Arabidopsis thaliana: one gene and its partner. The protein of the gene in region 2 interacts with the protein of the main gene of each other region in a pairwise test. Each region holds a gene or a part of one and is shown on either strand. Other genes may lie near its edges. The genes, in order: BZIP60 and BZIP17.

Region 1 (4,453 bases), on a different chromosome or scaffold from region 2:
TGATGAGTTCCTAGCTTCAGAAAATGATGGTGCTAATTTTGTGGGCTACCGAAACGTAAGCCACATGAATAAAGAGTTAAGAAAAGGTCTTTGTAGCATCTTCTAATCCGATCTTCATGTTTTTAGGTGGTGCATGATTTTCTTTGTACGATTGACGGCGACAAGCAGTTGCTAAATATCTTATACGCAGAAGTGGTAACCTATATAACTCTCGGTTAGACCTTGAAGGACATGTATATCATGCTCAAAACCTATATTTACTTTGTAACTCACAGGGAGGACTTGTAAATTCCTACATAGCTGAGTATCCAAGTGGTGTTCGCTTCAAGGAAGGTACCATCACATCTACTGTCTATTGTACTCATGTCTACATTTCGCGGTTCTCATTTCTACTCTGGCTATTCTCCCTATCTGCAGCGACCAACATCCTGACCCGTTTCGTGGAAACGTTCTACAAGTCTCGCGAGGAGATTGAAAGACAAGCCGAGGCTGAGAAGGAGATACTGGAGAAAAGAAAAATGAACATCAAACAAAATGGGAACCTCTAAAGAACCGTAGCTAGTTTCATCGACAACTTCTATGCTGCTTAGATGGAACTGCAAACTATCTATCATCTCTTCTCTAGTGCTTATGTACTAGAAAATATTTGAACTTTTTTACAATTCGAAGTTTTACCTTATCTTCATTGTTCTAATAAAACTATCTGTTCGTTTTTTTTTACCTGCCTACGCATCCGTACCAAACATTTTACAAACAAAAATCTCTGTGACAATCCCAAAGATTGGCTCGTCTGAACCCTAAATAATATCTGATGACAAAAAAAAAAAAAAAAAAAACTGTGATAATGTCAAATGAAGCAAACATGTAAAAACTAGCATGAGGAAAAGCTTTATCAATGTTAATCAACCTAATGAATTGTTATCTAGTAATTAGAAGTGATATTACCTGAAGTTATGCCTCAAAATCAACATTTTAAAGGCAGAAGCATTATTAGATAGATATCATCCATAACCATAAGACCCACATTCACTGTTAACTTATCGATATTAGACAGAAAACTTTCAACAGCGAAATACAAAACAAGAGAGAGAAAACTAAAAGACACTCATCTACAACTCAAAATGCGCAAAAGAAGCAGTTAAAAAAGGCGTTGTCACGCCGCAAGGGTTAAGATTTGGTATTTCATCCTAGGCCTCGAACCCTTACATCTCCGACTAACGCCGGTATAAGACGGTTTGCTACTACTCCCGAGCCCGTTTAGAACCAGCTTTTCTGGTTCTGGACGTAGGAGGCAACACTTTGTGTGGGACATATAAGGGAATAGGCAAATGAAGTTTACTCCCAGAAGCCAAAGCAGGGAACCCAACAGCAGGGATTCCAACAAGAGCACAGCAGACTCCTGCTTCGACATCATGGTAGTATTATTGCCATTACCCTTTTGCAAACAGTAACGTAGAGACTGGTTTTCAGCAACGAAGCACTCAAGCATACGTCCTAGTCTCAAGCATTCTCTTTCGAGATACTTACTCTTCTTCTCTAAATCTTGTACATATTCCTTCTTCCTCTCTCTCGATCTAACCGCCGCATCTCTATTTCTTACTCTCCTGAACCACAATCACATCCCAATTATCAAACCTCAGTTTCTTTTCATAGCATAAAAGGCTTTAACAATCTTAAGTTAACCAAAATACACATACCTATGTTTGAACATAATCAGCTCATGAATATTAACACAAGATTAACAATAATTAAAGGCAACCAAAATTTAAACAGTCATTTACTTAAATGATTAGTTCTCAATGTTGTTATCAAAACAATAACACACTTATAGCAATCTAAATGAAACAAAAATCAACATCACTCATAATCAATCAACTCTTCAACGTCACACATACATAAACATAATAACATGAACATATCACAAGATACGCAAGCAAAATTTAAACACTCGTTTCTCAAATCTTCACTGTTACACATACGTATCTCCTAGTTCTCAATGTTGTTCTCAAAGCATAACACACTTTTAACAATCTTAATGAAACCAAAATCAACACAAACATACAAAATCCATCCATAAACCCTAACTTTTCAAACAAGAGTAAAATTAGATATACCTTCTTCGTTTTTTAGCCACAGCATCATCGTCTCCTTCTTCGTCATCATCATCATGAATCTCGCTACCAGAATCATTAGACTTCTTCTCAACAACCAAATCCGAATTCTCCTTCCCGGAATCATCAGCGGCGGCGGGAGAATCGACGGTTAGAACTTTATCAGCCGCCAAATCAACGGAGCCAGAATCGCTAGTTGGATAATCAACGAGTAGATCCGCTATGAAATCTGAAACCGATTGCTGATCCAATTCCACAAAACTCTCCTCTTGATGATTCTCATCGTTCATCAATTGATTCTCGATTTCTCCGATCCATGAATCCGGTGAAGACTGAAGAAAATCCTCCGCCGGAAGAGAATCAATTACGATTGAAGGATCGAAATCGAAGAAGAAATCTTCATCTCCGAGTAAATCTATGCTTCCAAATTCCTCCGCCATGGTCAAAAAAAAAAAAATATACAAAGAAGAAAAAAAAAAGCGAATTTAATTTAAGAAATTGGAAGAGAGATGAGTTATATAGGAACTGTGTTTGAGACTTTTCTAAATTTCTTTGCGACCAAGTAAATGTGTAGAAAAAGAGTCAGCATGACACGTGTTGATTATGGACGCGTTTTTTGAATTTTTAGCCAATGATGTGATGGAGTGTACTGTGTTATAGTGTTTCTGTTAGCAGAGGATTATTGTTTTTATGTGCCGTCACACAACCAATGAGAAGGCTTCAAGCTGGAAGAATAGGATCACAGCCGAACACGTGTACTCAGTGAAGTGTTCGTGTGATTAATAACTCGGTTCTAATTCACTTCTTTTCTCTTGGTTTGATTTTCTTATTTTCGGTACAGTTATGTAAACCAGTTAGCTATAGTCAAAACGATGTACATGTAGTTGAGATGGACAATGAGACCAAGGAGAGCAAGGCTTCTTTGACCATTTCTCAGAAATCAATCAAAATTCTTCAGTCCCTTTTTCTCTTTGTCACCGTCAACATCTTCCACGATTGAATCTTTGTTCTCCGAGAGGACTTTTCTTCCTTCGTGACCATCTTCTAGACTTTGAAAGTTATCAATTTGTTAATTAAAATCATATATTATATTGTCAATTTATGTTACATTCTGGATTATCTTCCTTATTCAATTTTAAATGAGTGATTAATCTTCATTCAATCTCACATGAATGAATTTGTAAAATTTTCAGTTCTCTAGCAGATGAGTGAACTAATTATATATGTGAAAGTTGATCTACTATTTTCATATGAATGTCACGTTATTATTTAATTATTTTCTATGTGTTCATTCAATAATTAATGTAAGATTTACATTTATTATTAATTATTTATCTTTAATTGTATCAATTCTAAATTTATTTTTGTTATTATATGTATTTTAAAGAATAAATATATTTTACTATTTTCTTCATACTCATTTAAGGTTTATTTGCTAATGTTTTGTAGTCATAACTTAAAATAGGAATAGATATTACTATAGTGAATTAGCTAATGGTTTGGTAGCTTATTATCATTAATCTCTATCTAAATAATATAATACAGAGGATGAGGAGTATACAGAGATCCATCCTCAAATTCCTGATGTTTATATATTTCCAACATTAACATCTATTAAATTGTTTTACGATGAAAATTATTTCAAGATTGTGTGAATAATTACACTTTTTCAAAAAGTACTTAAAAAGTAGTTTAACATTAAAAGCAGTTGATGATTATATATTTTTCAATAAAATGTTAAATTATATTTTAAAAAAAGTAGATAAAGTGCAATTTCAATTAGAAACGAATAGAAGACAAGTTTTAAACACCAATAGAAATATTAAAAAGCTAGATGATGTTAGTTTTAACTTCTGGACAAAAACCAAATTTGGAGGTCGTATCTCTTGTCCCCAAGAAGTCTGATTGATGAGATTTGATTTTGGACTTGCTTATCAACCGAACTTGTCAATAATAGCATTAGTAATTATAATTTTAGTAACACATTATTTACATTAATTATAATTTTAGGACAATTGTATTAACCTGACTTGTGATCTAATGACGTGGTTCATAAAGTCACTTATCGAAAGTTAATAGTGTATATTTTCTATGATATAGTTCTTTTATAATGCTAATTAAATACCTATGAAGAAATATAAGGATTGCAAATTTTGTAATTAAACTAATAGAGAGGACTCTAACAAAGCTATTTAACTACGTAAAGCATATATTTCCTTTTGTATATTACTTTTTTGTTTGTATGTAAGCGGGAATACTTACCACATGTACTACAATTCCTTGTTCACCAAACTTCAAATAACTTCCCCAACGTCCTAAGTAACATCTTTAAAATTTGAAGA
Region 2 (5,564 bases):
GAGATTGATTCCTCGATAACACAACACAGATCGATCAGATGAAATGTTACTAAAGTAGTGAAATCAATCTTCATCGATAGATAGATCCGATCAGAAGAGAATAAATAGAAAGTTTGTTATCCCGAGACGGCACAGTACCTGGAAGAGAAGGATTCATGACGGCGGAGCTATTGGTGGTGTGAGCCTCATAGCTTTGGGTAATGATGAAAAAAAGAAAGTTCAAGTTCGTCTTCCTGATTGATCCGAGCGTTATGAACTTGAAGAAATGAGAATCCAAGCGTAACAGTGTGATAAAGAAGAAACCAATGAGAGGTAAAAGTTTTTGATGATTTTTTTTTTGCAAAGAGGGAAGTTCACGTGTTATAGGCCTACTTGTTACATTTAAATAATAATATTATTAGCTCTCTTTTTCTGACAATGAAATAAAGAAATTTTAAAAGTGAGCTCAGGTTCATGAATCTGAGGGTTCATGCTAATCCAATTCTCTCTCCGTCGACCTTCAGGTAAAGACTTCTTCTTCTGTCACTTGTGTGCTCATATTCTCCTGCTATCACCGATGCCCCCTTGGCTCAAACCATGGAATCAACTAACTGATCACTTTTGTCTACTTGGATTTCAGCTTCTATTGTAGAATGACATTTTTTGGTCATCGACTTTTGCAATGTATATGAGAGGTTTGATAAAACTTTCTAAGGCTATGAGTTTATAAAAGGTAAAAAAAAAAAGTTACAGCATTCGGATTCTACATCTGGAAACAAAAACCGGACAACGGTATTAGCTAAGGATATTACGTGATACCAGAGAGCAGGTATTTATTCTTTTACATACAAAGCCTATATGAGAGAAGACCTGCTGATATATGTTTCAATCCTCATATGTCTTCAAGTGGTCACAAGATGAGGAGCTCCTGATCGAGGTAGGACACAGGAGTATGTTACATACTTTGCACTGTCCAGAAGCACGACTACAAAAACTCGAGACAGTGATTTTGGTCCCCCAATCATCCCATCTATATCTCCATCACCTCCTTCTCTGGGATCAACAAGCACAGATACAACCATTGATGAAGCAGGCTTGATTTCTTTGCTACTGCTGTTTCTTTGGTGCTCTTTCGTGAGGTTAAAATCTGATCCTGGGAGTGGAATGGGAAGACCACGAAGGATTCTTCTGTTCTGTTGCTTGTGTGTGTCTGTGGTGTTCTTACCGTGTTCAGCAGAGACGTTGGTAGCTGCAGGAATGATGGCTCCAGAGGTTGAGGATACATCAAACTGAAACACTTCAGTGCACATCCCTGAACTAAACATGGGACCTACAATATAGTCATTTAACAAACAAAAAAGGTGTTATTATTTAGTGAACAAGAAAGATATAAACGCTACTACTGCGCTTACAGCTTCTGCCGAGAAAGATGAAGAAAAATATACAATATGAGTAACAATTTCACATGTTCCTTATTAGTGTTTAGTATCTAATCCAGATTATACAATACATCTACTCATGACCAGAGATTTGCTGAAGGTAAGTTAAGCCTCATTAAAATGTTCTTGTGTCTAATATCAAGATATGATAAGGACTAGTATACCTACAATGCCTGCCTACATAACCAAGTCAAGGGAACAGAAAGTAAGATCAAAAACCCATGATTACCTGCAACACCTTCACGGAACCATTGCTGCATTTCACCGTTGGCTGCTTTTGTTTTGACTTGGTCTTTCAGAGTATCAGCAGAGCCAGAGGATAGAGCTTTCTGTTTTTCAGCCTTAGATCTATAGAGATGCTTAGCCAATTCCTCTGTCCTTCCCACGTCAGGTAGAGGCAGTGCAGGGGTATAATCTTTAGAGATCATCAAGTCAGCTTTCCTCTCCTTTGATTCAGAAGCCTTTCTCGAAGCCACGGCTTTCTCACTCGCCAATATAGAATTGATAATCAAATTCCCATCTATCTTCACAAGCTTGTCATTCCTCGGAACAAAGAGTGATGCAACTAGAGGCTCACTACCATTTCCAGGAGTGACAGAACTCTCTGTTGCAGATATATTTTTCCTAGCTCCTCGATCAGAATCTCTCCCACGATGCATCCCATTACTATTAGAAACCCCAGTACCAGCACCACTACGAGATGTATCCAAAACTCTATCCCTATGCTGACTGTAAATCTGGTCAGTAATATAATTAGATCTATAGTTCCCATAAAAAGCACCACTAATTCCTCCATAATTAACGTTCACAATTGGAGCTAATGCACCAAACAAAAATAGACAAAACAGAAGACCCAGAAAACTAATACTAGCCACCTTCTTGGTCTTAGCTTCACTCTTCTTACTCTCGGACTTCTTAGCCTTGGATGTTCCAAGGGTGTTCTGTGGTTTCAACCTAGGAATAGGAATCAAAGGCACTTGAGATCCTTGTTGCTTCACCATATAAGGAGGACAAGGCATCCATGGATAAGGCATTGGAGCCATAGGTGGATACATTCCCATCGGAGGTGGTGGAAGATGCGGCGGGCACATTCCATTGCCACCCAATTGCTGCCTTAGAGTAGCATTCTCAGCCATGAAATACGATATCTTACCGTTCAAATCCGTAATCGTAGAATGCATATTCCTAACCTTTTCTTCAAGCTCCTCGACGTAATGCTTCTTCCTCTGCCTAGAAAGCTGAGCACTTTCACGGTTTCTCATGAGTCTAGCTCTCTTTTTCTCATCTTCTTCACCGGTAACAGCACTAGCGTCAGCATCCTCTCCCGATCTCCTGTACTTACTGTTCCTAGACTCGTCAGTCAAATCCTCATCGATCTCTTTCTTCCTCTTGGTAATAGACGTCGTCGTCGTAGCAGCTTCTTCCACTTTAACCTTCTGGTCGACCGCAACGTTTCTCGATTTAGGCGACGATTCATTTGTAGCTTCCGAAACATCAGAACCGCAATTACCCGAACCCTGAGAGGACAATGGAGTCGGTAGATCTAAATTATGGTCAGCACCGGAGCAACGATCATCGGAATCTCTAGGAGATTCCCGGTTAATGCAACCGGAAGTTGTAATAGTCTTATCTGCATCTTTGGGAACAATACAATCACCGGAAATTCCAGAACTTTCAGACTCCGGAGTGAAATCACCAAACTGTTCTTGATTGGACGTATTGATAGGGATGAGAAACGACTCATTCTCAGCAGGGAAGTAAAGATCGTCCATACCGTCGAAAGTGAGCTCGAATTCACCATCGGGAAACCCCAGATCGGACATTAGTTCACCAATCGGAGTCTGATCGGAGAAATGATCATCTAACGGAGGGATCGAGATGGAATCAAAATCGGACGGAGGAGGGTAGGTGGAATTAGGGTCCGGAGCAGGTGGAGGAGGCTGCTCCTTGGTGATTGGTTCAGCCATTTTGAAACTGAGTTTTAGGGTTAGGGTTTCGAATTTGGGGATGAAGAAGAAGAAGGAGAGATTCAAAAGGAAGAAAGGGGTTATGGAGGAATGAGGTTAGAACACGGGAGAAAGACGACGAGGGGTTTAAAGACAAAGAGGAAGAGGAAGTAGAAGGTGCTTGCTTCCGTCTTCGTCTACTGCGCGTGGGTCTTACGCTCCGGAATCATACTCGCTAACTTACACTAGTGATTCATGAAACTTATAATATCCAAAATTAATCGCTTTCCAAAATAAATGATAAACAGCAAATCTAGAAAAATAAATTGGGAAATTTATTTTGAATAACACTTTTCCTAAGAGTAGCTAAATTAAATTTTATGATGTGCTAGTGGGTTTTTTAATTTTGAATTTGTTTTTGATTGACTATTATATATGTTTAAGATAGTAAGTAGTAATTTTGATCTTCAAAAAAATATTAAACTGTTATTTTTAAAGAATTGACTTAATAGTTCATTTAATATTTGGGAAAGCAGATTTAAATTATTATTTTTTTTTCATAAATTAGGATATCAGTTTTAAGATTTCTTTTAAATATATAATTGACTTAATAGTTCATTTAAAATAATTTACGTAAATTACTTGGGGAATATATCATTTATCTCCCAAAAAATAAACTTAGTAATAATTTTTCGCGATTCGTTATATATCTTTTTTTTTTATATAATTACTTTCTTGATTTCACAAATCTCAAATAGATTGCGTTTAAGGTGACTGCAAAGATATGAATTTCTCACCATACATAATCTCTACAATTGTCTTGATACCAAACTATACGTGTTTCGTAATCGAGGGGGCTATAAAAGTAAAACAAAGCATATGGATTAGTTTGACGTTATAGTTATAGTAGTGTCGATTTGGTAGTGAATACAGAATACTCATGGTCATGGTGCATGTTGTTGACTTTTTGGGATCGAGCTTTGAGACGGGACACCACCAAGTGATTAGTTTTGTGTATCCAAATTTAATTCTTGGGCGTCTAAAATATCTTAGTCTTTGGTGCATTATCATTCTACATAGTCGTCATTTCACGATTATGCTGAATATATATTTGGGTACAAAGGGCAAAAGACAAGGGCGAGTGTAAAACCAAGAAGCAGAGGAAGAGCGTGGGAGATATCGGTATCCACATGTTAAAAGCACGTTGACTTCATTGTGTTGGAGTGAAGGAAGGGTTTTTGTTTGTCTCCGTTAATCTCTTTCTCTCGAAACTTCTCTCTTCTGATCTAAACCCTAAAAATAATGCTATATTATCTCCTCACTTTCCAACTGTGTGTCGTTTTTGAGTCTCTTTTCCGTCACGCATGTCTCCTCTCCCCTCTGCATCGCTCATCATTTCTTCTCTCTCACCTCATACTATCACAAATAGAGTATTGTTTATTGATGCATTTTAAATAGATATAACTATTGGCTTTTCGTTCACGTTCAAAGTTCAAAACTATGAAATAATGAAATCCGCTAGGAAATGAGAAGGTGTATATTGGTATAAAGCATCATTTTTTCACGAGAGTTTTGAAAGACACAAGCCAAAATAATGAAAGACTACATTATATTCTTCACAAAAGAACACAAACTCATCAAAGACTAACATTATGAAAAAGTAAACCCTCTGATCTGATATACGTACCTTTCTTGGGAGGTGCTTGCAAAGAGAGGTGGTGGTGGGTGCAATGAAAATCTAATCCATACTTTGACCACCGTTGAAAATAGACAACTTTGTAGAATTAGAGATAAACATGTGACTGTGGTCCGTTATAAGAAATTAGAATAAACAGGTTACAGACTAAATGTGTGCTCGTTTACATACATGGTTTTATAAGTTCAACCACAAATAAGCTTACATCTATCGGAATTTTTTTTTCCAAAACAACTTCGACTTCTCTCTTATGATCTTATCTAAACCGACTAGTAATTCCAATTTAATCTTATTCGAGTTTTTTTTTTTTTTTTTTTTTTGGTAATAGAAAGAAATAAGATCAAACGTTGGTCGCAAACGTGGAATGTGTTGAAATAACCCATCAATCAAACACTCAAGGTGTGAATGGTAACAAACTAACAATGGTAATAAGCTTTAGGGATTTTCAATAGCATCATATTATATGCACTAACTAAAAATAGCTCCCACAAGGCCACACCAATT

The links.
Region 1: the proteins of BZIP17 (region 2) and BZIP60 interact in a two-hybrid assay, tested with the Arabidopsis thaliana proteins (one study listed by BioGRID).

What each region holds. Positions count from the first base shown.
Region 1 is NC_003070.9:16,134,909-16,139,361, forward strand, and holds BZIP60 (basic region/leucine zipper motif 60), read right to left. Parts: upstream 2,556-4,453; 5' UTR 2,552-2,555; coding exon 2,115-2,551; intron 1,605-2,114; coding exon 1,154-1,604; 3' UTR 815-1,153; downstream 1-814. Other genes in the region: AT1G42980 (Actin-binding FH2 (formin homology 2) family protein), read left to right, coding at 1-55, 127-195, 276-333, 418-548. UniProt on the Arabidopsis thaliana protein: Transcription factor involved in the unfolded protein response (UPR). Acts during endoplasmic reticulum stress (ER) by activating unfolded protein response (UPR) target genes via direct binding to the UPR element (UPRE).
Region 2 is NC_003071.7:17,086,942-17,092,505, forward strand, and holds BZIP17 (Basic-leucine zipper (bZIP) transcription factor family protein), read right to left. Parts: upstream 3,616-5,564; 5' UTR 3,386-3,615; coding exon 1,648-3,385; intron 1,310-1,647; coding exon 882-1,309; 3' UTR 624-881; downstream 1-623. UniProt on the Arabidopsis thaliana protein: Transcriptional activator involved in salt and osmotic stress responses. Functions as a stress sensor and transducer in a signaling pathway that resembles an ER stress response.